2 linked regions of the Canis lupus familiaris genome follow. The protein of the gene in region 2 purifies or fractionates together with the protein of the main gene of each other region. This does not show direct contact. Links are inferred from orthologs where the notes say so. Each region holds a gene or a part of one and is shown on either strand. Other genes may lie near its edges.

Region 1 (5,020 bases), on a different chromosome or scaffold from region 2:
GCCAGTGTGTACTGTATTATACAATGCTGCTATAGAAACTAATGGATTAGAAAGTATAAGCCAGTAGTTGTAAAGTGTTAGCAGGATTGCACGTGCAAGGAGAGAGGACAGTGTTTACAGATGTATGGGATAGTTTGTTTTTTTTTTTTAATTGAAGTTCAATTTGCCCACATATAGCATAACACCCAGTGCTCATCTATGGGATAGTTTTTAATTATCATGTGACAGAGGTGTTACTGGCATGTAGTGCTCTGGAGGCAAGAAATGATAAATGTCTCACAGAGTACAGGACAGTTCACAGTGAAGAATTGTCCCTCCTCAAAAGCTCATTTTAGAAACCCTGAAAGTTGAAGATTTGTCCTGTGAAAAACTTTTTTTCTTCTGGAGAAGAAAAGATGAAGGAATGCGAGAAGTCTGTGGATTGGTTTGTGGACCCAGGAATGCAGTTATTTTTTGTTCCAACAGTGTAACTATTAGAATGATCCAATAGTGGAAAATATCTCTCTTGAGTTGTTGCAGATACTGCATGTTACACATGGGGCATGATATTAACCTGTATTCCTTAAATAAGATGATGTATGTGAAAATTATTTAACTTATAAATCTGCATGTTTTTATTGTAAAGCAATATGCTAACTTTATTCATTCCACATGTGGCGGGCATCTGCTTTGAGCTAGGTGTTGGGTATAGACAGGACAGGATAATAACTCTTCTCTTGAACTTTTCCTTCTTTATTGTAGCTTGAGAGAGGATTAGTTTTATTTAGTATTAGTATTTTACTAGTGAGTCTATTGCCTATGATTTATTAAGCCCCACCAAGTCATTTGCAGATGAATCACTTCCAGTATTTCTGCTTTTGTATTCATACACTTGAGTATTTGAACCTAAGTGTATCATCTTAACCCTGGTTTTACATTAAAATTTCCTAGACGGCTATTAAAACATAGTGCTGCTCAGCCCCACCTCAGATCAACTGAATCTGAATCTCTGGGATGAGGAGCTTGGGTACCAGTAGATTATCAAGCTTCCTAGGTGACTCTAATGTGTAATGAGGAGTCAAGAAATGCTCATGTAACCTGTCGTGAAGGTTTGAGTCTTGAGTCTAGGTTATATTTAGCTGTTCCTCCCAGCTTTAAAGACATGTCTTTTTATCTTAGTCCACATCACATTAAGATCATTAAACCAGGAACACAAACTATGGAGCCTTCTAGTAGATCCCTGCAGTGCTTCATAATCAACATATTTGGGGGGGTGGGGGGTAATTATTCAACTAGTTAAAAATCAAGTGCACTATGTGATTTTCCCCACACATTTTAATGTAATTCACAATGAAAACATGCATCTGTTAAATGCTTTGGGAAAATGAAGAAACATCTGATCTGCATCATTTCCCTGATACTAATCTATAAATTAGTACTAGTCCATAAAAAGTAAATCACTTGATTCAATATTCCTTGTTCCTTTTTTTTTTTTTTTTTTTTTTTTTAAGATTTCATTTGTTTATTTGAGAGAGAGCACACATACTGGTATGGCGACAGGGAGAGGGAAAAGAAGAGAATCTCAAGTAGACTCTGCACTGAGCACAGAGCCCCACGCAGGCTCAATCCCAGAACCCTGAGATCATGACCTGAGCCAAAAACAAGAGTTGGACATTTAGCCATTTGAGCCACCAAGGCGTCCCTGATATTCCTTGTTCTTAGTGAATATATTTTGATTTTTAGTCATCACCTGTTACTGTTTCATAATTTAAGAACTTGTTTTCCTTAGCACCAATGTCAAGCATATTGGTCAGTAATTTCTATATTCTCTTTTTCCAAAAGTTGGAACATTTCCACATCTCCAAGCATAGGACATCTTTTTTTGTTTTGGTTATTTTTCAAAGAATTTGGAACAGTTTGTGGTAAAGTTTAGAACATTTTACTTGAGCCTTGGTCGTTTGACATCCCTAATTAACATTGTGAAGTGCTTGAAATAGTGAAAATTTCCTTTACCATTTTGTTTACCTTAGTATTTTGCTTAAATACTAGAAAGTTTTTCCAGAAAGTAAAGATAAATTTCAGCTTAGATCATACATGAAGAAACTTGTTTTGAATTGGAATAATACACGTTAATGTGGTTTATATGCTATAAAATAAAACCTAGAAGCACCTGGGTGACTCAGTTGGTTAAGCTGCCTTTGGCTTAGGTCATGATCCCAGAGTTCTGGGATCGAGGCCAGCATCAAACTCCCTTCTCAGCAGAGAACCTGCTTCTCCCTGCTGCTCCCCCTGCATTTGTGTGAGTGCGTGCTCTGTCAAATAAATAAAATCTTAAAAAAAAAAACAAAAAAAAAAAAAACTAAAACATGGGTCTATTAAAAGACAGCATTTAAATATTTTTCACCTGATAAATGAATCTGATTATTTTCTTTATAATTTTTGTAACTTCTCATTTATTCATGTGGAAATCACCACAGGATCTTGATTTAGCTGTGTGCTGGTTTTAGTCTCTTTCTCACTTCCTGTATGCCTGGATACCACAAGGAGAGGAGAAGGGCATAATACAGCATTCTTTGTGCATCAGATTGGCCTGTACCCCATCATTCGAACCTCTGCAGGTCTCACAGACTAACCAACTCTATGCTCAGCTCTATCCCGCTTCCCAACCCTCATAATCTGAGAGCTTCTAGAAATGAGAAATAGTCTTCAGCAAAAAGTCAGCAACAACATCTGATGAGTAAGAGAGCTAGAAGATACATTGAAGTGGTATCGTTATATTTTCTGATACTTCTAGATTAGGTTCGTTTTCTAATTTACATTAAATCTCTATAAAAGTAATCTTATTGATGTAGGTTTTGAGTTCTACAGTTACATTAATACCAGAATTGGAAAAAATTGAAAAGACACTGCCTTTTTATTTTCTTTAAATACAAGGAATATGTATTTCTGTTGGTGTTTGTTTTTCATTGTCTTCCTCTTTGTTTCTTTTAGTAAATATCCCTGATTCAGCTTTTATTCAGGAAGCTCGCAGAAAACGTGAATTGGCCAGGGCCCAAAATGACTTTATCTCTTTGGATGTAAAACATACCTCTACCATTGCTGAGATGAAGAAAAATAGTAATGAAGATCCTGAGAGTGAGCCTGATGACCATGAAAGGAGAATACCATTTACCCTAAAGCCTCAAACCCTTAGACAAAGAATGGCTGAAGAAACAAGTACATACTTAATTTATTTACAATATATAAACATTGAGGGATTTTTCACCCAAATATAATATTATGTTAAAATTTTCCATAAAAACAGAATGTAGTATCTCATACTTTAAAAGATGTTAGAAGTTGGTTTTTATTTAATACAAATTTGGTAAATGACATCATAGTCTCTAAAAGATCTATTAAGATGTTATTATCAAATAATGTGTAATAACATTATTATCTGACCTTGATCTTTTTTGGTAAGTTAAAAAAAATTGTACAGTGTCTTATTTTTGATATTGAAAACTTTCATTGTCACCTTTATAAAGATTTTTTTTTAACATGGAAGCATCTATAGGGATTTTAGATGTTATTTATTAAGCTCTCCCCTGCTCTGATGAAAAATTTCCTCTACCAATAATCCTTAGATCTAATAGGACTATTTTCACATTCGTTATTTATAAACAATTACATGTTTTATCAAAATTTTTATCATTTTGAATAATATTTTTTCAGAATGAGACTTTTGGTTTCCTCATAACCCAGAAATTAATTTTCAATATTTAGATTCTAGGATAGAATTTATAATTCCTAATGAGGATTATCAAATGTTTCATTTTTTTTCTAAGTTTTTCCCCCCCATATATGAAACTGCAGTGTTTTCATTGGGACGGTTTGTTGATGAGTACAGGTGCCCAAATTCAAATCCCAGCTTCAGCACATTTTCCAGACAAGTTATTTAATCTCTTGATAGGAGTTTCCTCATTAAAAGAAAGAAAAGGCTGTTAGTAGTGCTTTCTTCCCAGAATTACTGTGAAGAATAAGTTAACACATATAAAGCTGCTAAGCCAGTGCATTATAAGCCCTTCAAAAATGTTAGCTGATGCTAATAGAATGGAAAAATATAGACTACTCATGAATTTTTTTTTTTCCTAGCACCCAGAAATGAAGAAACAAGTGAAGAAAGTCAGGAAGATGAAAATCAAGATATTTGGGAACAGCAGCAAATGAGGAAAGCAGTTAAAATTACAGAGGTAGTAATTTTTTATACCATATATATTAATTTTCTGTGGCTGCTGTAACAAATTATCACAAACTTGGTGGCTTAAAACAAGAGACATTTATTCTCTTACAGTTGTAGAGGCTAGAAGTTTGAAAACAAGGTGTTAGCAGGGCTGTGCTCCCTCTGAAGGCCCTAGAGGAGAATCCTTTCTTGCCTTCCAACTGTCACTCCAGGTGTTCCTTACTTTGTGACTATATAACCCCTGTCTCTATCTCCCTCTTTATATGGCCACCTTTCCTGTACCTCTGTATTCTATTTTATAAGAATATTTTTCATTGGATTTATGGCCCACTTGGATAATCCAGGATATTCTCATCTTGAGATATTCCACTTAATTACGACCAGAAGGACCCTTTTTCCAAATAAGGTGATATTCACAGATTCTGGGGGTTAGAACATAGACTTGTTTTTTGTGAGGCCACCATTCAACTTATTATACCTTATATATTATGTTCTCTTCCTACTAAATGTTAAATATCTTCTACATATTATAGGCCACTTGAGGGGACTATATTTTTTTAATTTTATAGTAATTGTAACATACGGTAGGTATGTAAATGTGAAGTGTTTAAACAAATAAATAGATTTAAAACGAAACTAATAAAAATAATACTGTTGTTGAGGTCAGGAGTCCTAGATTTGGATTCTGGCTCTACCACTAAAATATATGCTCCATGAGGTCAAGAATTATTATTAACTGTTCAGTGTTTTATCCCTCTGTGCCTAATACTATGAGTGCTCAGTAAATACTTGTGCAACTTTGTGCAAATTATTTAGCCCTTT
Region 2 (5,020 bases):
TTGAGCAAACCTCTCCTGCCCTAAATCTCCTCTCCTGGTGGGGGAACCCAGTGGCAGTGCTCCCTGTCTTCAACACCTCTCTCTCTCTTTTTAAAAATATTTTATTTATTTGTTCATAAGAGACACAGAGAGAGGCAGAGACACAGGCAGAGGGAGAAGCAGGCTCCTCGCAGGGAGCCCAATGTGGGACTTGATCCCTGGACTCCAGGATCATGCCCTGGGCCGAAGGCAGATGCTCAACTGCTGAGCCACCCAGGCGTCCCAGCACCTCTCCTTGCTTATTCCTTCCTGAAACTTCTCTCTGCCTGGCCACCTGAATGCCCTACCTCTGGCCTGCCCTAACCTGTCCCAGAACAGCCCTCAATTGTCCCAGTGGGCTACACTTCTGGGCTTTACCCTTTAGGTGTGGAGTGTTGTGGTTCCAACCTTGCATCCTTGACCCCTCTGTCTGCCTATCCCTCTCGTATTGTCTGTTAACTGTTCCCCTCTCACCTCTCCGGGGCCCTCATCATCTCTGGCTTCCCCCCGCCCCCTGAGGGGCAGTGGCTGCTTCTATTGGAGTTCTCCTACATGGTCCTCCTGGTGTGGCCAGAACAGCTTGGGAAAGCATTGTCTGATGGCTCTCTGCTGCTCTGGCGAGGCTGTCTGAGAACAGTCTCTGGCAGCCCAGGCCCTATGTGACAGGCACAGTCCTGTCCCAGCCGTACCCAACTTCTCGGGAACTTGGACTTGCTTTCCGTCTGCTAGCAGGTGTCTTTCCTTTCACCTTGACCCTGATATCTGGGCAACTTTGTTTCACTTTCAAGGTCACTGCCTCCAGAATGCCTCTCTGCTCCCACCCGGACACAGACCGTGCTCTCCATCGAAGGCTTTGTCGCATTTAAGTGCCTCCTCACTAGTCTCCACCTTGGCACCTGCTGCCTAGCAGACACTCAGTAAACATTTGCAGAGGGCCCTGGGCCCCACTGAGGTCCTGCCTGGGGTGAGAGCAGACGACGCAGATGCAGGTACATCCCCAGCCAGGCAGGAGATGGTTCAGGATCTGGGTGCATGGACGTTTGCCCAGGGGCCTGGGCAGGGTCATAGGGAAGGCTGTGTTCTGATCTGGGGGCAAATGCCTTTTGGGTACCCTGGACCCTCCTGCCTCAGCAGCCGAGATGAGGGCCTGATCCCCCTTTGGAGGGAGATCTGATTCCCGGTGCATGAAGAGGTCACGCTGTGCCAGGAGAGCAGGAGACCTGGGCTTCCAGTGCCGACGCTGCCAGTGACTCACTGTGTGACCTTGGAAAGAAAGATCTTCCCAGGTCAGGGCCTCAGTGTCCCCTCCTTTTGTACAGTGGGCAGGCTGGGCCAGTGCTGGGTCTGCAACCCCTGTGACTTGCAGCTCTTGTTGTGGGCACAGGAGGGCAGCCAAGAGCTGTGGAGCACAGAGGAAGGGACCGACAGTTTTAGGGAAACTGCTCTTTCCGGAGCCCAAAGCTGGGTGGGGGGCTCTCATTTCTGACCAGTTTGACAGTCTGCCAGACTGGAAGTTCCAGGGCACCTTGAAACCGGCACTACAAGGAATCGGATTTCCCAGCTGCAGCCTCTGAGCTCTGCCAGCAGTGGGAGGCCAATGGCCTGCGTCTCTCCCTCCGCAGTGGTCCTTCGCTGTTGCGACCATCACAGAGATCCCCCCTGTCATCTTCCTCCCGAACTTCCTTGTGCAGAGGAAGGTGCTGAAGCCCCTTCGGACCCAAACAGGAGGAACCATCATGGTAGGTGGGGAGGCTGGCAGAAGGACCTGCTGGGCTTGGGACCCCCACACCTCTGGGCTTCCCCCCCTCCCCAGCTCTCCGTCTGGAATACGCTCCTCCCTCTTGGTAATTGCATAAAATCCTAAATAGTCCTCCAGGCACAGCAACAAGGACTTTTTCTCCCAAAGCCTCTCCCACGTGCTCTGCTGCCTTGGGGACACTGAATTCCTTGTTCCTCCGCCCACCCCCCATCTCCTATTGGAGTTACCGTATTTGCTGGTATATAAAGACATGTCCCTATGCCCCAGAGAGTATATAATCAAACTGGCACCAATATACTCAACTCAAGGTGGAAAAGCAAACCCCCATGACTTCAGTGATGGGTCATGCTCTGCTCACCTGGCATCATGGGTATGGCAGTAAAGAGCACTCGCAGCAAAATGAGGTTTCACATCCCCTATGTAGTTGTCTGTAAAACACAGAAAGAAAGGCAGAGACACAGGCAGAGGGAGAAGCAAGTTCCCTGTGGGGAGCCCAATGTGAGACTCGATCCCTGGACCCCGGGATCATGCCCTGGGCCAAAGGCAGACGCTCAACCACTGAGCCACCCAGGCATCCCAACATTTCAGCTTTAAATGTAGGATGATCTAACCCAGGGCTGGATCAAGACCTGTTGATCCTGATAGTTTTCTTTCTAGCTTTGCAAATTTGTACTTTTTTGTTTATTTCTTGAGGTATTACTGCCCACCCCCAAATGATGATTTCTTACAGGATTTTGGTATTCAGGCTGCCATATTTCCATGGGAAAAAAAAAAAAGTCTATTTTCCCTTTGAAGGCCCTGTTAAGATCATTGTCAGCTCACATGTGATCATAACCACTTTGATTTCTTCCAGTTTCTTTGCATAATTGCAAAGGGGCTGATGTACTGCACATCTCATATGCCAGCCAACCCGGTACTTACTTCCAAGCCTGAGTCCGAGCTTGCTGGAGGGTGGGTACCGCCTGAACCCTACCTTATAGGTCAGCCCTACGTCCCACTGACTGGACCTAGTGTCTATGGAATGAAGGAGCGAATCCGTGAATGAGTGAGTGAGGGAAACAGTTGCCTGTGCCTCTCACCCTGTGCTTGTCTCCAAAGGCAGGGAAGCTGGCCATGGAGCGAGGCTGGGCCATCAATGTGGGTGAGTGCCCTGGCCAGCCTGGCCTGCTGGGTCCTGGGGGCTGGGAGGGCCAGGTAGCTGCTCTGTGAGGCAAGGCTCTGGTGCCTCCAGAGCCACCCTGAACCTCCTTATTAAGTGGGATGGGGGACAGTATGCAGCCATCTGGTGTCTGGGAGGGATCAACCAGTGCCTCCATCTGGTGTGGAATCCTTCTCTAAAGGAGTTCCCCAGCTCTGCCTTTGCATACTTCCAGTGACAAGGAGCTCACTCCTCTGCAAAAGCCTGCATCATCGCCTGGGCAGACCTGAATGGGGCTCAAACCTGCAGCATTTCAGTCTTTTCTGAAAAATCTCCCATCAGCCTCCTGGGGCCCAGGACCACCCGCAGGGGTTTGGTCACATGATGGGCAGACAGGCCTGGGTCAATACCATGTCCTCCTCGGGGACCTGAAGGCTGATAGTCTGAGGTTCCCCGGACTCCCCTGCAAGCCTGGCTCATGGGATGGCAACACACATCTTCCTTGTCCCTTATCTGTCCCTCACTGAGGCGCAGCACTTCACAGTTAGCACACCTCTTTGCTGTCTGGCCTCTCATCTGAGCTGGGCATCATTGTTGTTGATCCCACTGTACTGACGAGGACACAGCTATGGGGAGCAGCCTGGTGGCTTGCTCAGAGTCTGGAGCAGAGGACCCCTACTTTGCCTGTGAGCTCTGCAAGGCCAGGGGCTGGGGCTTTTCCAAGTTGGCATCGCCAGGTACCCAGCCTTGGGTCTGGCATAACTGTGATGTTATCATAGACTGCTGAACAGATGAATGAAAGAGGCACACTCTGCACGTCTACAGCAGGGTCCTCACGAAGACCCCGGGAAGCCCTTCTCCTGTGGAAGGTGTTGTGACCTGACAGTTAAGAGCCCAGGCCCGGATCCAGCCTGGGTTTGAATCTTGGCTCAAGAGGGCTCTCGTTAGTGAGCTGTGTGATCCCAGGCGAGGTGCTGAGTTTCTGTGTGCCTCAGTTTCTTCATCTGTAAAATGGAGATGATGGTACTAGTGCCCCTACTTGGAGCTGTAGGGAGGTTTCTATAAGTTCTGTGCCCAGTCTGGGAGTTCACAATTGGCTGTTATCTCATTATTAAGATCTGTTGACAACCTGTTGGTGTGAAAAGAGACGAGTCCTTTGTAGCCATGGGTCCTGGATTCGAACTGCTGGGTGGGACAGTTGTTGGGCTCAGTTTCAGAGGCCCCTGAAACTCGAGTTCTTTTTGTAGGGGTTGCGGGGCAATGGGCTCTCAGGGTGGGGTAGAAGCAGGGGCCGGATCCTGGTGTCCAGGGCCTCCCCATTGCCATGAGTGCCCATGACCAACAGAAGGTGCCCCTCCTGGCCATCACTTTCTACCACCTGCAGAATGTGGGTGATCCCAGGGTAAACGGGCCCCCATAGCCCCACCACCCCTTCCAGGCATGGGAAGTCACATAGAGGTGGCCTGGCCCTACAGAGGCAAGGAACAACTTTTTGCCTTGGGCCCCTCGGGGTTGTGACGGGTAGTGGGGGGGGAGTGACTTGTCAGGACCACCCTGAGAGGTTTCGTACTCTGGGCAGGGATAGCCTTGATGACAAAGCTGTCTTCATGACTCGGGGTTCTCAGTTCATTTTGCCAATCTGGAGTTCCCGGAGCCTGGCTGAGCAGGGCTGGGATACGGGCAGGATGTAGGGGCAGGGGAGTGCCTGGCCCTGACCACACCGCGTCTGCCCTCCTGCAGGTGGAGGCTTCCACCACTGCTCCAGTGACCGGGGCGGGGGCTTCTGCGCCTACGCGGACATCACACTGGCCATCAAGGTGCGCCCGAGAGCACGTGGGGACTCGCCTCCAGGAGCCCTCCCGGGGGTCCCCCCGCCACCCCCAGTTTGGTGTTCTCCACATGACAGAGAAGGGAACTGAGTCCCAGGAGGAGAGGAAGCGTGCAGGTTGCCCAGGCAGTCACTTGCTCATCTGCATGGCCTGTTCTGCAGGGAGATCGCACAGCCTCCAACAATGGCAGGGACAGGAGACAGCAGCCTATTTGTCAACAATATAGGGAGCGCACTGCTCCCCCAGAGTGAGGAGCAGGTAGAAATAAAGATGGGG

What was found. Proteins that work in one complex are often made in the same cells at the same time.
Region 1: the proteins of HDAC11 (region 2) and GCFC2 purify together in Homo sapiens (co-immunoprecipitation; 3 studies listed by BioGRID and IntAct, counting the BioPlex papers as one, with this or other methods). This does not show direct contact. The link is inferred for Canis lupus familiaris from reciprocal best matches to the Homo sapiens genes HDAC11 and GCFC2.

The regions. Positions count from the first base shown.
Region 1 is NC_049238.1:48,140,655-48,145,674, forward strand, and holds part of GCFC2 (intron Large complex component GCFC2), read left to right. Parts: intron 1-2,970; coding exon 2,971-3,195; intron 3,196-4,110; coding exon 4,111-4,208; intron 4,209-5,020.
Region 2 is NC_049241.1:3,834,940-3,839,959, forward strand, and holds part of HDAC11 (histone deacetylase 11), read left to right. Parts: intron 1-806; exon of another isoform or gene 807-1,001; coding exon of another isoform or gene 1,002-1,007; intron 1,008-1,579; coding exon of another isoform or gene 1,580-1,640; coding exon 1,641-1,757; intron 1,758-2,875; coding exon of another isoform or gene 2,876-2,918; intron 2,919-4,655; coding exon 4,656-4,732; intron 4,733-4,905; coding exon 4,906-5,002; intron 5,003-5,020. UniProt on the Homo sapiens protein: Responsible for the deacetylation of lysine residues on the N-terminal part of the core histones (H2A, H2B, H3 and H4).